3 linked regions of the Caenorhabditis elegans genome follow. The protein of the gene in region 1 interacts with the protein of each later gene in a pairwise test. Each region holds a gene or a part of one and is shown on either strand. Other genes may lie near its edges.

The links. Proteins that work in one complex are often made in the same cells at the same time.
Region 2: the proteins of unc-62 (region 1) and elt-6 interact in a two-hybrid assay, tested with the Caenorhabditis elegans proteins (one large-scale study listed by BioGRID).
Region 3: the proteins of unc-62 (region 1) and odd-2 interact in a two-hybrid assay, tested with the Caenorhabditis elegans proteins (one large-scale study listed by BioGRID).

Annotation. Positions count from the first base shown.
Region 1 is NC_003283.11:4,494,870-4,501,925, forward strand, and holds the start of unc-62 (Homeobox protein unc-62), read left to right. Parts: upstream 1-2,593; 5' UTR 2,594-2,597; coding exon 2,598-2,720; intron 2,721-4,460; exon of another isoform or gene 4,461-4,926; coding exon of another isoform or gene 4,927-4,938; intron 4,939-6,349; coding exon 6,350-6,531; intron 6,532-6,849; coding exon 6,850-7,000; intron 7,001-7,047; coding exon 7,048-7,056. UniProt on the Caenorhabditis elegans protein: Acts redundantly with ceh-20 and ceh-40 to perform overlapping roles during embryogenesis.
Region 2 is NC_003282.8:1,915,134-1,923,616, reverse strand, and holds elt-6 (Transcription factor elt-6), read right to left. Parts: upstream 5,641-8,483; coding exon 5,500-5,640; intron 5,066-5,499; coding exon 4,949-5,065; intron 4,446-4,948; coding exon 4,229-4,445; intron 4,075-4,228; coding exon 3,848-4,074; intron 3,785-3,847; coding exon 3,596-3,784; intron 2,560-3,595; coding exon 2,485-2,559; intron 2,413-2,484; coding exon 2,275-2,412; 3' UTR 1,973-2,274; downstream 1-1,972. Other genes in the region: Putative transcription factor egl-18, read right to left, coding at 6,257-6,493.
Region 3 is NC_003284.9:6,157,405-6,163,049, forward strand, and holds odd-2 (Protein odd-skipped-related 2), read right to left. Parts: upstream 3,124-5,645; 5' UTR 3,082-3,123; coding exon 2,771-3,081; intron 2,695-2,770; coding exon 2,241-2,694; 3' UTR 1,973-2,240; downstream 1-1,972. UniProt on the Caenorhabditis elegans protein: May function as transcription regulator. Required for morphogenesis and function of the digestive tract.

The DNA.
Region 1 (7,056 bases):
TTTTGTATTGGTCGGCTTCATTCCGAATCACTGCTCTCTGTCGGTTCCCCGATCCCCCCTAAGGCTTAGAGGCCAGTCTAGTCACTTTTTGCTCCAGCCGGCTTGACCTAAAAATCATACACACATAAAATGGGCCGGCCTCCTCTTAAAATTGACAGATACATCTCATAAACCAATTAAGCGGCGTCTCGTTTACAACTTGACATAATGAGGTAAAATAGGGGGCGGTGCACCTGGCTGGGGGGCACACCAACAACGATTCAATCGAAATCTTTTTTTTTGTTGTGTTTCGTTAGCATTTTTGCCCCGGTGCCCACTCCTCCTCCAATTTTTTCGACGGGTTTCTATAGACCCCATCAATCATTTGTATGACTTGTCCGGTGCAAGTCCACGCAATTCTCCTTCCTTTTTTTGCCTCCGTCCCTCACTACCACCACCACCACCACCACCGACGACGAAACGTATCGATTTAAAAGGAGAGGGAAAAAGAGCGTGCGCGCGGGCCGCCCGTTTTTCAAATTTTGTTTCGTGTCCCCCCCCCCCCCCCCACCAACACCGGGCCGGCTGGTCGGTGGTTGTGATGGTGGTGGACACACGGGTTACTGTAGTAGGCATACACATCCCCTGGTACGGTATTTGGGGAGCCAGGCGAGAGAATCGAAATAGAAGCGAAGAGCAGGGGAGCAAGAGCATCGATTGCGATACGATGCGTGGAAGAAAAAACCACTGATAACTTTTTTTTTCGAATAATGTTCGGCGCACGTAGCAAAGAGCACACCGTAAGCTTATCAGTTTATACGTCAGCCTCGTTGAGCAAAGATCTGCCTAGGTTTTTGAGTATGACTATGGAGAAGAAAAAGTAGATCAGATTGGGAAACAAAATGGCAAAACTATGTACAAATGAATCAAATTTTGTTAGCCTCTAAATTAGCTTTTTTTTATTCACTCTATTTTAGAGACTTATATCTAAGTTGTCCTTAGTCTTATTAAAAAATGTTTTACTGTAAAAATGTAGAAAAATATTTGCACAAATTTTGTCAGTTGAAAATTTTTTTTACAAGCCCTAATGGGATCGAGTTATAAGCCGTCAAAGTGGAGCAAAAAGAGGCAAGGCGGATAGAGCAGTAGCTCTTTTGCATAGAAACAGTAGCTATATTGAAAATGGAAAGCTTGTAAAAAATTGGTTTAAAAATTTGTTAGCCTCATAATTTTGGCCTTTAATTTAGGCCTTTGATTAATCTTTTGAGCTGAGCCTATTACTCTAGAATTTTTGAAACAACTCAATTCTGTCAATTCAAGCAACAAAAGCACCACACGCTACCTTCCAGGAAATCTGAAATCTATAGGTTAATCTTCTTCCCGTGTCTACCATGTTACCAAACAAAGAAAAACAGTCTGAAACTTTATCCCACTTGACACCTCCTACCCCTCCTCTTCCATATGATCCTAATCTTAATCCCCTTAGAACAAAAGGCGACGTTAATAAAGTGCAGCTGGAGTATAAGTAGATGAGGGAAACGGGGGATGTGGTGCATTGAAGGGAAAAAATGTTGAAACTTTTGTATTTTAATGTTAGCATCTCTATGTCTCTACTCTCTGATTATTGATAAGGAAAATGTGTCAAAAAATGACTGTGCTCTCTGGAAGAGGCGAAAGGTTGCGATATTTTATTACATTCATAGGTGCACATTTAGTTGACAATCTGGAAAGTGTAGTTTCAGAAGGATCTTGTTTAATTAATTAATTTTTTGTGGAAACTTGGAAATAGCTGACTAGGTTTGGTAGAGCTTTTTTGATTCCTGATAATGAATTTGAAAAATTAGGACATTGTCCGCAATTTCCTTAGTAGGCTTGCACCCGTCTTGCTCCACTTTAACAGCTTCTATCTCAGCTCTCTTTGATTTTATCAGAAAAATTTTAACTGACAAAATATGCGCAAAATGTTTTTCTATATTTTACCAGTTAAACATTTTTTGATCCAATCAAAAGCAACAGAGATATAGGCCGTCAAAATAGTTTCTCACATTTTCGGTGGAGCAAATTTCTTTCAGAAACCGAACTCACTTTTAGATTTTTTTTTAATTTCCAAACTAGTCACATTTCCTCAGCTCATGCTCATTCACATGACAAAAAACTTCCGGTGAAACTGGCGGTATAATGAAACTTTTTTTTCAGTCTCATACCGTACATTACATAAACCTTATCAAATAAAAAGAAACTAGTTCCAATCTTCATTCTTTCCACTTTATTTTTCCTTAGCACTTACATTTTTTTTGTTCGAATTTCAAAAATATAATGAGAACAGCTTTGTGCACCTAGTGGGGGCAAAAACGAACAAAAGCAATTTATCTTCAATGCGGAGGACATTGGACACAGGACAGCAGCATGTAAACTTGAATTTGCCCTCCTGGTTCATCTCTTGCGGAGCCTATTTATTATTTTTTTTTTCGAATCCATCCCTTTTTTTTTGGTGTGCTTTTTGTGCTTTCGGGCCACGAGGACCCATCTGCTGTTGCTCACGCACAGACTCTTTTGATAAATGATAATGAGTTTCACGTTTTCTTTTTCAAAATTTAATATTTCTCTCTTGCAGGAACATGAGCGGCGACTCAAAAGTGTGGGCTCACGCGTCCGCTGACACTTGGGCTGTTCAAAATGGAATTTCGACGTACGATTTGGACACGTCGAGCATCAAACGAGAGAAGCGGGATCACAATGAGGTAAAATTTAAGAATTGGTTGTTGTTTTAATTTGCGACTAAATTTCCTAATTAAATTGATTTCTGAAAATTGAAAAAATTTTTGCCGATTAAAAAATTCTTTAGGATCTTCACATTGTAGTTTAAGAAATTCAAAAATCAATTTTTAGAATTAAAAATAATTTTATAAATCGAGCTTTGAAGGGTTTTGTATTGTCTGAAACTTCAAAACTTTTGGAATTTCGGAAAAAAAAATGAAAAAAATGTTCAAAATGAACTGTAATTTTTCAGTTCTGTTACGATAAAATGCTTTCAGAAAATTGATAAAATCTATAAAATCAAAATTGTAAAAATTTTAGAGTTTCGAAATTGGTTTTTCATTGAAATATAAATTTCAAGAAACCGGGAAAAAATATTGTAATATTTCGCAAAAATTTGAAACATCACATTAAAGGCACACATTGTTTTTTTTTCTGAGTTGGTCTCGCCACAGGAGCTAAATTCAACAGATTTTTTTTCATTTGACATAGGAAAACAAATTTCAAATTCGGAAATCCACTAAAAATTCAGAATTTATTATGAAAAAAGTATATTAAAGGTGGAATAGCGCCAGTGGGAATTTTGTCTAAATACACTTATAATGATCCAAAACGACCGAATATTATAATAAAACACCCCACAAAATTTTAGCTTTTTCATAATTTCCGTTCAAACTTTTGCCAAATTGCCAAATTTTTGAAAAATATGAGCTTTCGAGGAAATCCAAAGCAATGTCGCATGTTTCGCCCCCTACAATGTTTCAACACGAATAATTAAAATAAGCTTAAAGTGTAAAAAATGTAGGAAAAAACTTTTTTTGGTCGACTTCCAAAATTATGAGTAACAAAAACTGAGTAATTGTCACTTTTTGACCGCAAATAAAAAAATTTAAGAAAATTTTTGATTGTTTTGATGTTTTTGTTTGATGTGTTTGTTTGATGATGTTTTATTACGATATTCGGTCATTTTGGGACCATAGGAGTGGTTTTTAACAATTTCCCCATTGGCGCTACTCCACCTTCAACAACTACCATAAAAATCTAAGAACATATTTTTTGGGTTTACAACCTACCAGTTAAAGTTCATAGAGCTAGTTCCACACATCCACGATATAATATGCAATTTAACAGCCGATGATCCGATTATCAATATCAACAGCATAAAAGCAATAACAAAATCCTGATAATTTTCACACAAATTGTCCGCCGCTTTTATCTTTTCTCTCCTCATTCTTCTTCGTCTCATCATCGCTCCCCCCCCCCCCCCCCCCCCCCCCACCGACCGATTTATCTCTTTTAATCACATTAATCATGTGTTTCTTATCGAGGGTGGAAAATTGGAAAATTGATAGGCGACATGGAATTTGGCTGCCAAGAATCGGGTACTACTTGGTAGAAAATGTAAATTTGTGTTAGCTGGAAAACCTGAGGTCCCCCACACTTGACTTTTTGCCTCGTCTCGCTAAAACAAAAAAAAGAGGAAAATGCAATGCATGTATTTTTTCGTCGTCGTCGTCGTCGTCGTTTTCTTCGTGTTTGACTTCTTCTACTCCTCTCCAAATTTGCCTTCTCACCCTCCTCTCACACCCGGGGTCTACTGTACCGAATTGAGTGCCTATTGGCGCAATAGGGCGGGGCCCCGGCGCATCGCTCTCTCTCTCACTCACTCCTTCTCTCGAGGGGGGCTAACAGGGGAAAATAGACTGAGAGAGAGAGGAGAAGGCAAGCGAGTCGATCTGCCCCCCGGTTGCCCGTTTCTCTCTCTTTCGGTGGTTTCTCGTATTTTTCCCCCACCAGGGAGAGTCAGAGAGAGGGAGCCCCGCCCACATTCACCCCACCAACCCTCCCCCCAACGATCGGACAAGATTGACATACAACCGTTTTGAAGTGTGTGAGAAGTTGTCATTTTCGATATTCATCTGTCTGTCATATTATTTACGTTCGTTCCATCATCATCGACATCACACGCAGGGCAGAGAAGAACACACGCCGCCACCGCCGGCCCATCAAATCGGCACACTAATCAATCGATCAACGAGAGAAGAAGAAGAAGGGGCGGGCGACAAGCTCTGACCATCATCGTGTGTGTGACAGACTGACTGACTGACACCCCGTTGTGGAAAGAGTTTTCGATCCCGACACGACCATCGTTCATCTTATTCAGCAAGGCCCCGTGTGTCGGCAACGACGATGGCGCAGAGGGTACTTCTTCTTCTTCTTCTCCTTCATTCCGTTTCCCCTCTGCTTCTTCTGACTTTGACATGATACCAGAAAGAGCGCCATCCCTTTTTCCTTTTCTCCTCTATAATTTATCGTTGTGTTGGGTGGTGGCTCGAGCTCATTCTTGGGTTTCCAATCAGCCATTGCGCCCCCCACCGCGCCGTCGCTGTCGCTTTTTTCCCGCTTTCTAGATCTCAAAATTGCAATTTTTAGGTGTTCGCCTTGTTTTAAGCGCTGGTTAGTTACAATATAGTTTCCCAAGCTTCAGAATATAGAAAAACTTGACCCCAAATACCTCGAAAAGTCGTATCTCTGCTCATCTCTAGAAAATCAGTGAATATAATACTTTAAAACTATAGTTCTAGAAAAAACAAATATTTTGTCAGCTTAGAACTTTTTGTTTTAACTGAAAATTACAATGAGCTGCCAAATTGAAGCTACGGTCTGCAAGACTAACAGTTGCACCCCATCGTCCAACTTTGACAGCTTATATCTCAGTTTTCGTTCATCCTATATAAAAATTGTCAACTGGCAAAATCCGTATTATTTCTTTTTCTATAATTTTGTAGTTGACTATTTATTTATATCTTCTAATTGAACCGTGATATAACTTTTCAAAGTGAGGTAGTGAGGTGGAATACTATCGACTTTTGCAAATCGTTAAAATAACACCAGTGAATATTTCAAAATATAAGTACTTATATTAAGCCCCTCATTCTTAAATTTTTCCTTGCATCGATTAGTTTTAGTTTTAGTTTCCGAAGCCAACACAAGAATCACAAATAGTTTTACGATCTTACCGACAGTATCACTTTTTCTCGGGAATCATTTGAAAAAAGATAAGAAAATGTCCCAAATTCCACCCCTTTTCCCCGTCTTCCCCGCTGACTAATAAAACCCATTAAAATGATTTTGATGAGCTTGGGCTACTGCTTAGAAAAAATGCCTATGACCACCACCACCAATGGTTCCAAAAAGTGTCAAAAAATTGGCCTCTTTAGTTATCAATACAATTTATCAATTAATCAATTTGAGAGACAAGACACAGAAAAAAGAAAAAAGAAAAAAAAATAGGAAAGCGTGGTTTCAATTTCTCACTTTATCCTTCCACCGTTATCCCCGTTCACATCTTCTTTTACCCGAATCGGGGGGCCGAGAAGATTTATTTCGTCAAAAAATCCGCCTATCATCTTGCCGAAATCTGGAACGGCGCCCCTTTGTACCGAAATTTCGAAAAAAAAAAGATTTTGGAGGAAAACTAAAATTATTGATTTTTTTTTTGCAAAATTTTTGCTAGCCATGTCAGAAGAAGAGATAAGATTTTACCCATAAATCCCTCACATATTTAGGCGCCTTTTAATAAAATTATCTAATCTTATCCATATTTTTTCAGCAGTTCAACGATGGATATGGTCCACCACCGGGCTCGGCGAGCGCCGACCCAGCCAGTTATATTGCCGATCCGGCGGCGTTTTACAATTTGTACACGAATATGGGTGGCGCGCCGACGTCAACTCCGATGATGCACCATGAGATGGGTGAAGCCATGAAACGGGATAAGGAGTCTATTTATGCGTGAGTTTTTTTTGAATTTTAATTTTATAAAGTCTGCCTACAAGGCCTGCCTTGTGCCTGTTTTTTTTTCAAAATTAAACATTCAACAAGTCATCAAAAATTTGTGAAAAAAATTCAAAAGTAGGCGGTAGGCAGGCAAAACATAGGTCCTCATGTTTGGAGACGTGCCTGAGAAGCTGAAGCTAAAAAATTTTGACGTAAAAAAAATTAAAAAATTTCAAAATTTTCTGCTTCTAAATTTCGTTAAAATTATTACATTTTCAAAATACTTTCAAATCGCTAAAAAAAATTGATTTTTAACAATTTTCAAATTTTCAGCCATCCACTCTATCCACTTCTAGTTCTCCTATTCGAAAAATGCGAGCTCGCCACGTCAACGCCCCGAGACACGTCACGCGACGGATCCACGTCATCGGACGTGTGCTCCAGCGCGTCTTTCAAAGATGATCTCAACGAATTTGTAAGACATGTAAGTTTCGGGGAAATAATAAAATGAAAAAAAAGAAAGTTTTACAGACCCAAGAG
Region 2 (8,483 bases), on another chromosome or scaffold:
AATCCGTGCGAGACCTGTCGATTTGCAATGGAGCGCAGTTGTTCATGTTGAGGATATAATTTTATTCGAAATATTAGTTCCTTCAGATAGTTTTTCGAGAAATCACTGAGAAAGGAAATGAGAAAAATATGATAAATGGTTTTTTTGCGACAGACGCCCTATAGGACCCATGGGGGTTTTAAAGTTTAAAATTCTTATATTTTTGCCAATTTTTTTTCAAAAACTGGAAGTAAAAAGGGGAAATTAATCGTTTAAAATGCAATTTTATAAGAAAAAACCGGAAAAATCAAAGAAAAGTTCCGATTCTCCGGAAAAAAAAAACGTAACAATTCTCTGGGACGTTTAAAAATTCTCAGATTTTCGCAAAATTTTTTAGTATTCGAATTGTCTTTACAACGCTGTGTATCCAACTAGTATTGCGAATGCGGTGAACGAATAATAGGCACGGGCGGCTGCGGGGGAAATACACCGGAAATGTATGTCCTTGAGCAGAAGAATAGTGGGGGCTCCGTGGAGCACTGACTGGACGGGAAATTTTTTTTTATTAATTTTTATTTTTATTGAAAACTTTGAAAATTTAGAATAAACTTGATTAAAAAATCGAGTGAAAAAACATTTATTTGAAACTTAAAAAATTCCGAAAAAAAAGTAAAACAAAATAAATTCTTCAAAAACTTTCAAAATTTTTCTTCCGAATTTGCACTCATCTCGCCTGGAGCTTAACGATAAGTATAATCATGACCCATTTCCATTAGTTTCCGAAATTCTTGGGTCTCGCAACGAAAAACTACAGTAACCCATTGAGTTTCTCGGCGGGACCCTTATATGGTTGTATTCAAATTGAAGCTCTCCGATTGATGAACTCAAATGTTTCATTAAGTTGTTAAAATTTTAAAAAAGTCAGGGCCCACCACGAAAATCCCCGGGTTACGGTAGTTTTCATGGCGGGACCTTGAATTTGTCAAATTTTGGATTTTTAAACATTTTTATAAGATTTTTTAATACTAATTTTAATAAAATTAAAGTTTTAAAATACGCTGAATAACAAAATAACTGTGAAAATTTCAAATATTTGCGGAAATTAAAAAAAAAATTTAATTTTTTTTGTTTATTAAAATAACAGTTATTAAATATACTTGCTTTTAACTTTCAAATCTAATCAGTTGTAATAAGGTTTCAAAAATATTGGGTCCCGAAACGAAAACTCGTGACGGGACCAAAAATTTTTGAAAATTGATTGAACATAGACATAATTATACTTATTTTAAAACACTTGGCCAACTAATAACAGACATAACAGTGACACTCAAAAAACATCGGGTTTCTGTAGGTTTTCGTGGCGGGACCCAAAAATGTCCATTTTTACAGATATATTTGAAATCAGCTCACTAATAGCTTCAATTTAAGTCTTATCATGACAAATTTGGGTCCCACCACGAAAGTCACGAAAGTAACCCGAGGGATTTCGTGGCGGGACCCAAAAATTTTCAAAACTATCAAAACCTAGCCATGATTATACTTATTTTGAAGCTCTCGGCGAGCTGAATCTAGGAAAAATACCAAAAATTGAAAATCCAGAGGTTTGGACAAATTTTCAGAATTTTCGTTTTGAGACCCAAATTTTTTTTCAAATTTCGAAATTTCAGATTTTAAGGTTTTTATGCAATTGAGAGATGTTAATTAAATATGAGCTTCCCATACTTCTTTGAAATTTGAGAAAATTTGGGCCACCACGAAAGCCTACAGTAACCCTGGGAATTTCGTGGTGGGATATAATTTTAAACATTGAATTCATCAATCTGAGAGCTTCAATCTGGATACAATAATGTCATGTTTTCCTTTGTAAATTACAGGGTCCCGCCATGAAGTTCTCCGGGTTACTGTAGGTTTTCGTGGCGGGACCCAAAAGTTTCCCCTTTTTTAAAGCTTTCATTGATCTGAAACTAGCTTAAACCTTTTTAAAAGTTTCCTTCCTGCATGATAATATTTATTAAAGGAACATGGATATGCACACAAATAAACTCGGTGCTGGGATTATTCTGTTCAGATATTGCGACAAAGTGAAAGAGACCTGCACTTCTAATAAGGGGGAATACAATAAAAATTTAAATTGCAAAAAAAAAAATGTTGAGATTCTTTGTTTTTTCAGAGACCACCGCAGGGGTCAGTGGGATTTTTTGTTGGAAAAGTGAAAACGGAAATACTGATAAAGCTCACAGTTGATCGGGAGGGGACATTGGGGGATATATCACACGAGATAATAAAATATAATAATCAGGGAGACTTGCGCTGCTCCTGTGACTGATTCAACTGATTAATTTGCTCGAGAAAGGTCAGCGCGTTGGCTCCACCGTTAGCCATGCTCGGTAGGCCGAGAAGTTGACTGAAAACGGCTGCTTGACTGGTTGCTGGCTGAAAAGTTTAGAGTTTTTTCCAAAGAGTTTTTTTTTCGCTGGAAAAAAATTGAGCAAAACAACGGCTCACATTTTCATCTTCCCTCATTCTTCTACGGAATCGCTGTTGGATAAAATCTTTTCGCATGTGAACCGGCCGATGTGTCTGAAAATTTGTAGAGTTCAGGGGGGAGAATATTGAAAAATGAGGTCTGAAATTGGGTCTCTCCACAGATGAATCCTAAACGTTTTAATGCTGCGAGTTATTTGGTTCAGTTAGGGCTCACAAACCGAACATCCGGTTATCCGAATGTCATTTGTCAAGGTTTTAGGTTCCAGACTTTTCGGACGTGTAGTTTCTCAAAACCAGCGGTAACATCAAAAAGTAGTTCGGGGGCCTAAGCTTAAGCCTAAGCCTAAGCCTAAGGCTAAGTTTCAGCCTTAGCATAAGCCTAAGTCTAAGCCTCAGCCGATGCTTAAGCTGAAGCCTGGGCATAAGCCTAAGCCTAAGCCTAAAACAAATCCTAGACCTAAGACTAAGTCTCAGTCTGAGCTTAAGACTAAGCCTATGCCTAAGCCTAAGCTTAGGCCTAAGGCCGAGCCAAAGCCTAAGCCTGAGCCTATGCCTACGCCTAAATGTAGGCCTAGGCCTAAGCCTAATATAAGCCAAACCTAAGCTATAAATCCCTTCTCCAGATTCATTCAATACTTCCCTTAACTCGTTAACTCGCTCACACTTTTGGTTTTTTTCCTTCTTTCTCTCTCTCTCTCTCTCTTTCTTGACCACAAAAACCATCATCAAGATCCTCCTCACTCACTCAAAACCCATTCAATTTTCATCGATAATTAGTCGTCGTAGTCGGAAACGACCTTTCGAGATGGGTAGTGGTGGTGGTAGTGGACCAGTAGCTAGAAGTAGTACATAACATCAGCAGCCCCTATGGGTTTCTAAGAGGTAATCGGAGGACGAGCGTACGCGCAATCTTCTAATTATCTTTTGAAACGCGACGACGGATATATATATATTGTCAAGGTTGTGTGTTTTGAATTGGGTCAACACTATTGAAGCTCCTTTTTTGGTTTTTTGAGTGCTAGCTAGGCGTCATGTACTTCTCTACAGTAGTTATGGGCTCAATCTCTGTAAGAGTTTCCAGCAGTAACCACTGTACCTACAGTAACCCTCAGATTTTCAGCCAACTCACCCTATGCAGCCTATAATACAATCCACACGCGTTACAAACAAGCTTCCCCTCCAAATCCCTTCGCCACGCTGTCGTTTTTATTGTGGAGCAATTGGAGCATTTCGAGATGGACGAGTTGGCACTTGTATCGTCCTCCGAGCTACCAGCCGCCGCGGCGGTGGATGCGTGTACTGTTGGTGATGGTGATTTCTGGAATTTAGACTTGGTTTAGGTCTTGGTTTAGCAGTCTGGTCTGAAGACTATGCTACTAACCCCGTTGAACTGCATAGAGAGCTGATCGAGCAGAGTCTGCTCAACAGACGCACTTGGCGATTGGTTTCTGTTCTCCGACGGTTCCTGCTGCTTTGACTCTTCGGCTTTTACGGGCTTCTGCTCTCTCGCCTGCTGTTGAGCATGGTGATGAGCAGCGGCTTGATGTTGTTGTTGCTGCACAAGGTTTAGCAAGTTCATCATATTTTGTGGATTGGCCATGGGATCGACTAAAAAGTTTTCAAAGATTTGTACAAAGATCTTGGGATATCCTGCGCAGGTAGGCATGGCAGCTCTTTCAGGTCTTTTCCAAGGTCTATGTGGTTCTATTAAAAGCTTTATCACTCTAAGAACCTTTATTTTTCTAAAGTCAATGAAACTTACACACAAACCCGTTGAAATTCTGAAAATCGGGAAACGGAGAGCTCGCGGAAACCGGCGTCGAAATATTCCTTGTGATTTTCTCAAAAGGCGAGTCACTACCTCCATTCTCCAAATGTCGATTCACAGATTCTTTGGTGGGTTTCCGTTTGCGGCACCCTCCATTCGACTTTCCGACTGATGACGGAGAAGCACGGCTTTCAGTTGGTGATGGGGGATACTGAAATTTAAAATTTTCGTGATTTGGTCTTCTTGATTTCCAGAAATTACAATTATGACATGTGGTATCAGAGTGTCCCATCTCGGTTTGATCTACGTGTAGATCTACGAGAATCGCGAGAATTCGGACGCAGACTTCTCAACTGATTTAGCACGGTTAAGAACGTGCTGACGTCACATTACTTGAAGAAACAAAGAAAATCCCGCATTTTTTTGTAGATCAAACCGTGATGGGACAGCCTGGCACCACGGGACACAGCAGGAAGTTATGATCAACGTGGATGCAAAAATAAACAAGTTTCTTGGGAATGGCTCAGAATCGCGAAAAACTGAGAAAATAACTTTAAAACAGATTCAGTTTCTTTCTCGAAAATTGTCAGGCGGCGGGAAAATGCTGCGAAATAAGCTCAGTTTCAGCCCATTTTGGCTTATTTCTAAAGTTCCACCAGCTCCTTCCCGCAGAACTTTTGCAACATGGCCGCTAAAAGTTGTCAAAAATCTCACCTTCTCCTCGCTTCCGCTCTCGGACATTTGCTCAAGCAGGACTTTTTCCTTTTCACTGATAAGAGCTTCAAGCCTTCCGCACACTTCGTCAATTTTCGACATCATTTTTGAAACATCCTGTAAGAAAACGAATAGACCGGAGCTTTCAGCGCGGCGATTCAAATTCCTAGAATTTCAGAAATTCTCAATGAAATGAAAAATAATTTAATGTTTCTGGTAATCCGAGAATTACTTCATGTATGCCTGCCTATCGGCATTTGGCTCTAGTTGGCAATTGGGCAAAACTTGGGCAAAACTTGGATTCAGGCTGCACCAAAGTTTCCCCCAACTCTTACCAAACTTTGGTCCAAAATTTTCTTTTTTTTAGTTATACTTGGGTAGAAGTCTGACCAGATTTTAGTTTTGCCAAAGTCTTGCCCAACTTTTGCCCAAGTTTAGCCAGCTTCTTATCCAAGTTAATATTTTTTAGGCCAAACTTGGGCAAGAAGCTGGAGCCAAATGTCGAGAGTAGGCAGGCGCGTGAGCCTACTGCTAAACAAAATAATATGCACCTGTCGAATATCCTTGTGAAGCTGAGCGCATCCGGTGCACGCTGCTGCTGTAGTCGCCGTCTCCTCAACCCGATCCTCCATCTCCTCCTCCACCTCCCGGCTCACCATCTCATCCGGCATCTCCTCCTTCGACGACGTCATCTGTAAATCACGTGTGACGTTGTTTTAGAAGAAGAAGAAGTGGAGAGCGAGAGAGAGAGAGAGACGGAGAGAGACTGTGGAGCGAGGGGAGAGTGCGAGAGAGCGAGAGGACGAAGTTAAAAGCTAAAAGTGATAGAATGAGATACATACGTTTATCCGTCAAAAACCACAAGAGATAAGGAGAGAGAGAGAGAGTGAGATGAGATTTTTTCAAAATAAATATGAAAATGCAAAAATGATGATTCAAGTGAAATGACAAAGTGGTGGGAGGAGGTGAATATAACACAACCATGCACAGAGAATTGGGGGAGGGGCCTCCTGCAGAATGGGGCGGAGCCTAACTATTATTATAAGTTGTCGGAGGAGGAGGTAAAGCTCACAGTCGGAAACACGCGGTGAAGTTGGGGGAAATGGGGCACAATTATTATTAGAAAATTGGCGGAAAATTATTTAATACTGTATTTTTCTGAAGGGGTAATGGAATGATGAAGGATTGCTTATTAATCAATAATACATTATGGAGAATTTCAAATTTCAAATTTCAATAAATAAGAAAAATTACATAAAGGTATTGTGCATAAAAAGGATGTGAAGGGGGAAAAAATAATAATGATAATTAAAATGTGGCACTGCTATTCATGAGCTCTTGAGCCTGCGTGAATTGCGAGATTTGCTCGAGTAAATTGAATGTGTTGATGGCTCCATCAGTGCTCACTCCGCCGGTCGCCATCGTCGGCATTTGTGTGAGGAGTTGGTTGAAGATCTGTGTTGCCGCCGACGACTCTTTTTCCTTGTTCTTTCGGCGGTAGCGTTGTTGGATGTGGTTTTTGCGCATTTCTATTGGTCGGCGAACCTGGAAATTGGAAAATGAATTAGTTGTTAAGGTGGGAAGGATCTGGGTGAGCTTTTGGAAGGATCCTTAGGCATTTAGGAGCTTCTAAGAGGGGGGGGGGGGGTACTGTGAGGATCCTTAAGATCCTAAGTATCCCAGTGTGGTTGATCGCCACAATCGATCGCGCAGAAATCCAAGCAGCATAAGGGTCAGAATTATCTTATCAAAGGATTCTGTAGAATTGTAGATTTTCCCAGAAAATTCAGATCTCAGGATATCGGTGGAAAGATCCTTCGGATAGATCTTCGCGCTGGTAAATTTTAGAAGGATCCGCAGATGATGTGAATGTTCTTACTAGAGGCTGTAGGGGATCCTAGCGATGGAAGGATCGGAAGGATCGGAGGTCTCCTTTGGCTTAAGCTTCGATCTAAAGACTTCCGGTTGTTCTAGCATATCAAAGAATTCGTTGGGATCTCCATTATCACCAAGCTTCTGTCCTAGATAGCCTCACCGGATCCTAAGTCAGATTCTTGGATCCACCTGTCTCCTAATCAGACATCTGGTCTGTCCGGTCGTGATCGTCCCGTTTCCTGCACCGCCAATTATCATTTCTCCCAATTTCATAACCTTGGCCATATTAGATACACACACACACATCCATCTAAGGGCGGAACGTTCTTCTCAATTTGCACACACAATAGAGACAACAATAGGGGTGGTGGTGGTCTTCCATCTTCGGAGACGGCGGCGGGGTGGGCAATTAGGGTGAGAGTGAGTGTACGTGTATCAGCAAAAGGAGGGGGGAGATACAAAGTGGTGGTGAGAGGGGGATCACTCCGTAATTGCCGAATTTTTGATCCAGTGGAACTAATGGAAGGTCTTCTTGGGTATGGATCAGCTGATCTTACACCTTACACCGGAATCTTGAGGATCCTCGAATCACTGGAACCAATGAAACTTCTACAGATCATCAGAATCTTGAGCGATCGCCTCAAGATTGTTGGGATATCCTTGCTAGGTTATTCTCTGATGTTCCACCTCGGGAATCATCGACCTATTCCAGGAAACAGTGAAGCTCTGGTGCTTCTTAAGATCCTCAGAATCCTCAGGATCCTCCCTACAACTACCCCCGCCGCCAAAGTTTCGATATGGATTGGCGTGCGGAACCAAAAAGTCATTGGTGATGATGATGACGACGTTGAGGCTGGATTGTTTGCGCGCGCACGCGTGCACTAGTTTCATCTCCCCCTAATTGTCGGTGCCGGTGGTGAACAATAAGACGTCGTCGTCGTCGTTTCTTCTCCTAAAATGAATAAGAAAAGGAAGAGGTGGAAAGTCTATTCGAGTTACAGGTAATCATTGACTCGTCTCCTTCTGCGGCACGCACGCCGCCGCCGCCGCCGCCGCAGCCGATACGCTAATTATCGAGGTGGAGACGACGACGATGACGACGACCACATAATGGTTGAAGTGATGGAAATTGAAAGAAAGGTAGATACTGTATCGATGATGATGGAGATGATGATGATGATGAGGTGGAGAAGGTGGAGGTACTGTACTTTTGACCTACTGGGGTGGTAGAGTTCGAAATTCTTGATAATGCGGGGATCTTCAACAAGAACCAAGTAACTCAGAGCTTCTGATAAGGATCAGGATCGCATATGGGACGATCAGATGATCTGAAATCTTCACCTGAAGCCCAGGATTGCCAGGCTAAGAGGGTTATCACAGGCTCTCTGGCCTATCTAGGATCACCAGGATCCGAACATTCTCCAGAACGATTAGAGCAGCTTTAGAACCTGGATAGAGCGAATCTTCAGCCTTCAAGGATCGGCAGGACCCGAGAACCTTCTGATAAGATCTAGGATAGCTTGTGGAGCTTAGATCTTAGAGCCTTTAAGGATCAGAAAATCCTAATCTAGCCAAACTGACCTAGAAATCGTCTTCGGATCAATATCAGTCGCACAACTAACACATAAAAAGTAAGAAGACGAAGAAGATGGAGAAGAAG
Region 3 (5,645 bases), on another chromosome or scaffold:
AACGTACATTTTTATCAATAACATTTTTGAAATAATTAATTAAACACAAACACATTTTTTTTGTTTCAGTTTATGCTTGGTTTCCAAAATATTCCCCTAAAAAACAACGACCATAGTATGTCATCAAATCAGTTTCCCACTAGCCTTCTATGATATCAGAATGACCTGGCACCCCCATTGCATAACGGTCCCATTCAGTGTACAGACTAAGTAGTGATTAATAAGGAGTTGGTAGGTTATGATAACCGACACAGAATCAGAAACCCGTGTGTACGGCTGAATTGGTCGACATAAGCGGGTTTAGCCAGCGTTGCTCGTTTATCACTACCGTAACAAAATTACTCTGAACTGTAATCGATTGGCAACATATGAATGATTTTATCAATGAGAGGATTCAGTTTAAAATTGGTATCTCACGTGATCAATGAAATATGAAACGATTATTTTACAATCAAAATGTTGAAAAGTAACTATTCTTTCAGTTTAGAATATGGCATTGAAGTTTATAGAGAATCACGTAGAATTTTGTGTTCAAGCTTTCAAGTATTCCAATGATAAATAACATTTTGCTGTTCGGTTTACGAAATTATTTTAAATCATCACATCATTTTTTTAATAGACCATATTTTTCAACAACTCTCAGAACTACCAAATGTCAGTAGAAACAGTCTGAAAATCATTCTGAATACAGTCAATTTTCTCTTCAAATTCTTGCTATTACAGAAACATATTTTGTATAGGAATCTTTAAAATATACCTTTCATAGCTGCCGATGAGCACTTTGAACAAGAAAATTCATTCAAAAAATGACTAATTTTTTAATACGGTTTTCATAAACCTGTTTTTTTTTGAACATATCAACAAATGATTAGATAATTGAAAAAAATAATGTTTTCGTCGGTTGTAAGTTTCTTAACAACACACAAGTTTAAAACATATTTGTGCCAGTTTGTCTCTAATATGACTCGAAAATATGAAACTTTTCTAAAAAAACACTAAAATGTATAAAACCGTGTGATTTAACGTAATTAGAATTAGGAATAAATAATTAATCAATAGTGTCAGAATTGAGCTTAAAATTCAGTAAATGTGAAAATTGAGCGATTTTTTGTTTCTAGTCCATTCCGTATTATGAAAAACAAAACATACACCACAAAAACATTTTTTAATGCAATTTAACTTTAAAAAACATTTTCATGATTTTCAAAAAATGGGATTTTTGAAAACATTTCTGAAAATCTCAAAAAGCCCATAGCAGATTGCTAGTCGATTTTTCAACTTTCTTCTCCCTGTTGCTCTTTGTTTTGAAGATCAGAGTAGAATAGTAGTTACAGAAATGCTTTAGTCTTTTCAATCACATATCAATACTAGATTTCCGGCGAAAAATTCGAAAATGACCCTCAAACCAAGTGGTAGTCTGATCGCAATGAAAACTTCTGAATAAGACAAAAAAAACTGAATTTAAAAAAATCAGAACTTGTTTATTTCTAAGCATGGCAAAACAAATTTATCTTCTAAAAAATACAAATAAAAGCATTTCTCACACGACAAACCAAAGACATACTAATGTTGCGAAACATTACTACAACATGAAACTATTCAAATATATTTAATTGTCTGAAAATTTACTATGCTAAATCTTTAATGCCCAACAAAAAAACTTAGTTAAAATATTTTCAAGTTTGGTTTTCAAACCAATTTAGGAAATATGTGAGATAATTAGGGTTTTCAGAGATTTGGAATGAAATCTGTGTGCACAGTTTCATGAATTAATAGTCAATGCTGAAACTTCAATGAGCTAGCTCAAAAATTTGCACATTGTGAGCCCTTTGCTGTGGAGCTCATGCTGCCTTCTATCCTCTTCAAATCATTTCCGGTTTGAAAACAGACACCCATCTGCAATAAACGGTGCCGACCGTGGATATTGCACATATGATCCCTTGCTGCCCTCTTGTAAACTCTATACACCGTATTGCAACGTCATTCAGAAAATGTTTTATTTTTGGTACAATATTGTATCTGACACAATCACAAATCTAAAACTTTGACCCTATCAAGTATGAAGAGAGAAGGTAAATCGAAAAAAATATAGACATATGAAAAAAAAGAGTAGCATATATTGGAAAAAACAGATGATCCTCAAGTAATACTGGACAACATGAAAATGTTTAAGCAGGAATGACAAAATTGACCGTTTTCATAAGAAAGCCTAGATGCCAAATACTAATTCTCAGCAGAATTTAGCGATCAGGTGAGATTTGTGGGGATGTCATAGACGTCGAATTAAAGCTATCAGTGAGATTTTGAAGAATTAATGTTACTCGTGGATCCAGTTCAGGGAGTGGTGTTTCACTTTTGATTGGTACAACTGGAGCTCCAATACTGTGTCGGTTTGGATCATGTGTTGCACGGTGGACGAGGAGAGTTCTTGATTGGCAGAATCCTTTCCCACAGATTTCGCATTTGAATGGCCTGTCCTTTTGGTGGATATACTTGTGGTCTCTAAGATGATCCTGACGACGGAATGCTTTTCCACAAACATCACACGAGTATGGTCGCTCATCAGTATGTGTCCTTTCATGGATCAGGAGGTTGTAAGACTTGGTGAAGTGACGATCACAATATTTGCAGATGAATTCCTTCTTTGGTCGGGCTGCTCGGCCAGTAGTCCTTCCACGTCCAGGGATCATGAACCTAAAACTAAATAGTTGAGATGATACAGTATAAAATTTCTTATCATCATATCGTACATTATGATACAAGAGCTTACCATGGTTGATCGTAAGGAACAAATGGTCGAACGGCTGCAGTAGTGAGCGTCGGGGACATTTTTGGAGACACACTTTCTTCTTTGATCTTCTGTTCAGATTCAATTGAATCAGCCATGTGAGTGAAGTCAAATTTTGCTTTCTTGAGATCGGTGATCATTGGAATTTCTGGATTCATAGCAAGCAGCGCCATTTTCCTCTGCTGCAGAAAATTTTGGAGTTGGAGGTGTTGTTGTGCAAGCATCATTCGAAAAACTTGTTCATTTGATTGAGGAAAAATTGATGTTGGAACTTGTCGTTGCCACGGAAGCATTTTTGTGTGTGCGGGAAGGGCTAGTGTTGATTCCAGCTGAAAAGAAAACAATTATTTCAAATTGATTTGAGGTCGCAAAAATAGCGGAACGAGCAAATACGATTTGAAAAGAGGGAAAAATGATGATACCGTTGGGCAATGTAAGAGAGCAGAATTCAGAAGAAGGAGCGATAGTTATTGTTTGCTCCTTTTCAAGAGAAGTTGTCACTTTGTTAACGAGTATTATCGTCTTATGGGGTAATCTACTACAAACAAATCTAAAAGGAGGAGAGGACTGAACAGGCGGAGCACAATGTTGCGGTGGTGGTAGGGATGACTGTCAAGAAAGAAGGAGGATCACTTACAACTCAGTGGGATACTTTGACTCTATGGTGCCGCTTTTTTGGGAGGAGGGCGACTCACATTTTACACCACGCGTCATCTATGAATTTTTATAGACTCGCTAACACTTCTGAATTTTGGAAACGGCGATAACGAATGATTGGAAATGGAAGAGGGGCGAAATTGAAAGAAATTCTTTGTGCTGGTCGGTAAGTAGAAAGGTTTTGATGGCTTGTTGATGCTCGGGCGCATGATATTATCAAGTACACGGCGGCTATAAAAACGGTTGGCTTCCGTGCTTCGGTCCTACATCAAAGGTAGCCGACGTGCACGGAGGTGTTAGGGGAGTGTTTACCAAACAGTAGAGGTGTATGTGACTAGAAGCTATCTATCTCATTTGCAAGTTATGAAATTGAAGAAAATGAGAACCACATTTTCCATATTGACTCATAGAGAAAACCAGCAGAAAAGAGTCGAAAAGTGTAGAAAAAGTAGAAAAAAGTAGGGGAAAAATGAGAAAAAGGGAAAGCCTTTTCGGGTGAAGACTCGCGGTGATATGCAAACATTAGACATTTTCAGAAGGAAGAAAGTTAGCAGAAAAAAAGAAAAAAATCACAGTTAAATATGGGCCTCTTCTATTGACAATATGATGATACTGTGACTTTGACTCTCCCCGTTTTTCTCACTCTATTTCGGCGATGTGGAAAGAAGAATGGTGCCAAAAAAGAAACTTTGGTATCAATGGGGAAAAACGAAAGCGGACAGGGAGCAGAATATCATTCTCAACCTATTGTTATGATAAAATCGTATCGCGAGCCACCTATTTTCCCGCTTTTAAACATCTCAAAAATTTTTTGCTTCATGTATAATAGTTTAAAAACAAGAAATGATACAAATTATGATGCATGCTGGCCACATAAAAAACAGTAGAACCCTCTTCCGTACGGTTGCAAAACACAATTGAAAAATGTGGGTAAAACGGCGGGAAATTTGTCATTGAATCATATTAGCGGTTCAGACTAATACTAATACAAAATTTTATATGCACTTTTGTCGAAAATTTGGGCACTACAAACTGTATAAAAGTTTGATCTTAATTTTTCAGCTTGAAAATGATTTTTTTAACAGATTCTCCAATATGGAATTTCCAAAAGTGGTACTTTTCAATTTAGTTTTCACAGAATGTGCTCGAATGAGCACTGTCTAACTTAGCTAGCTAGCTACTGTGTAACGATAAAACTGTTGAGTTAAGACAGTTTTTGTTAGAGATCTTCAACAACTCACACAAATAGTTGAAAAATTTGCAGAACCAAGTTTTCAGAACATACAATATCGCCTATACTTGGTAGAATGGAGGAACTGAGTGGCTTCCCAGAAGCAGACGGAGGCGGCCACCACCTCGTGTTCAGCTCGTCTTCTCCTCCGACACGCCCACTGTCTTTGCTGCTGCTCTCTCGGCGGGCGCTGGTTGACTGACTACGGTAGGCCCTGTGCTGCCGTGCACCGCCTACTTTAGAAGTAGAAGTAGATCTTTGAAGATTTCATGACACCCTTTTCAAAGAAGTTTTAGACCTAACTATACTTTTAAAAAACCGTGAAACTGTCTGGAGCGATAAGAAACATAAAAAGCGCCTTTAGGTCTGGATAAAGTTTTTCTAGACACACGGGAACCGAATCTATAGAGAAATTCAAAATTTTTGATTAGGTAACTGTAGTACACCAAAAACATAAGTGACATTTTATAACTTGACTGATGACAACTTAGGACATCTTGCACTATTTAGATAACATTTGCACGACAGTTATACACCTTTCTAGCTACTCGTTAATGATGAGTTATGGAAGTAAACTGTCCTATTATAGTGAACAGAAATTTTGAAAATACACATTAAAATTTGACATAAAAGAGAATGACTTGGAATATGGAGTACCGCGCGGCAGAAAAACCGCCCACTTTTTTTTGAGCAAACCATTTTTCTTGGCTATTCTCCGTTTGAATTTGGTTTCAAAGACGACGACAACTTTTTATGAAACCTATCATGTTGGGGTGGTACGTGTTCCTTTTATGACTCTCACTACATAAACGTTCCCTTTTGGTGCAACATGCCGACTAATGATAATTGACTATTATCTTTGAAAACACTAGAGGTGAGTAGATGGGATGATAGTTTAATGATAAAAAAGACTTGGAAAAAATGAATCAAAATTCTATTTACCTGAAGATTATCCACCGTAGTGATGCC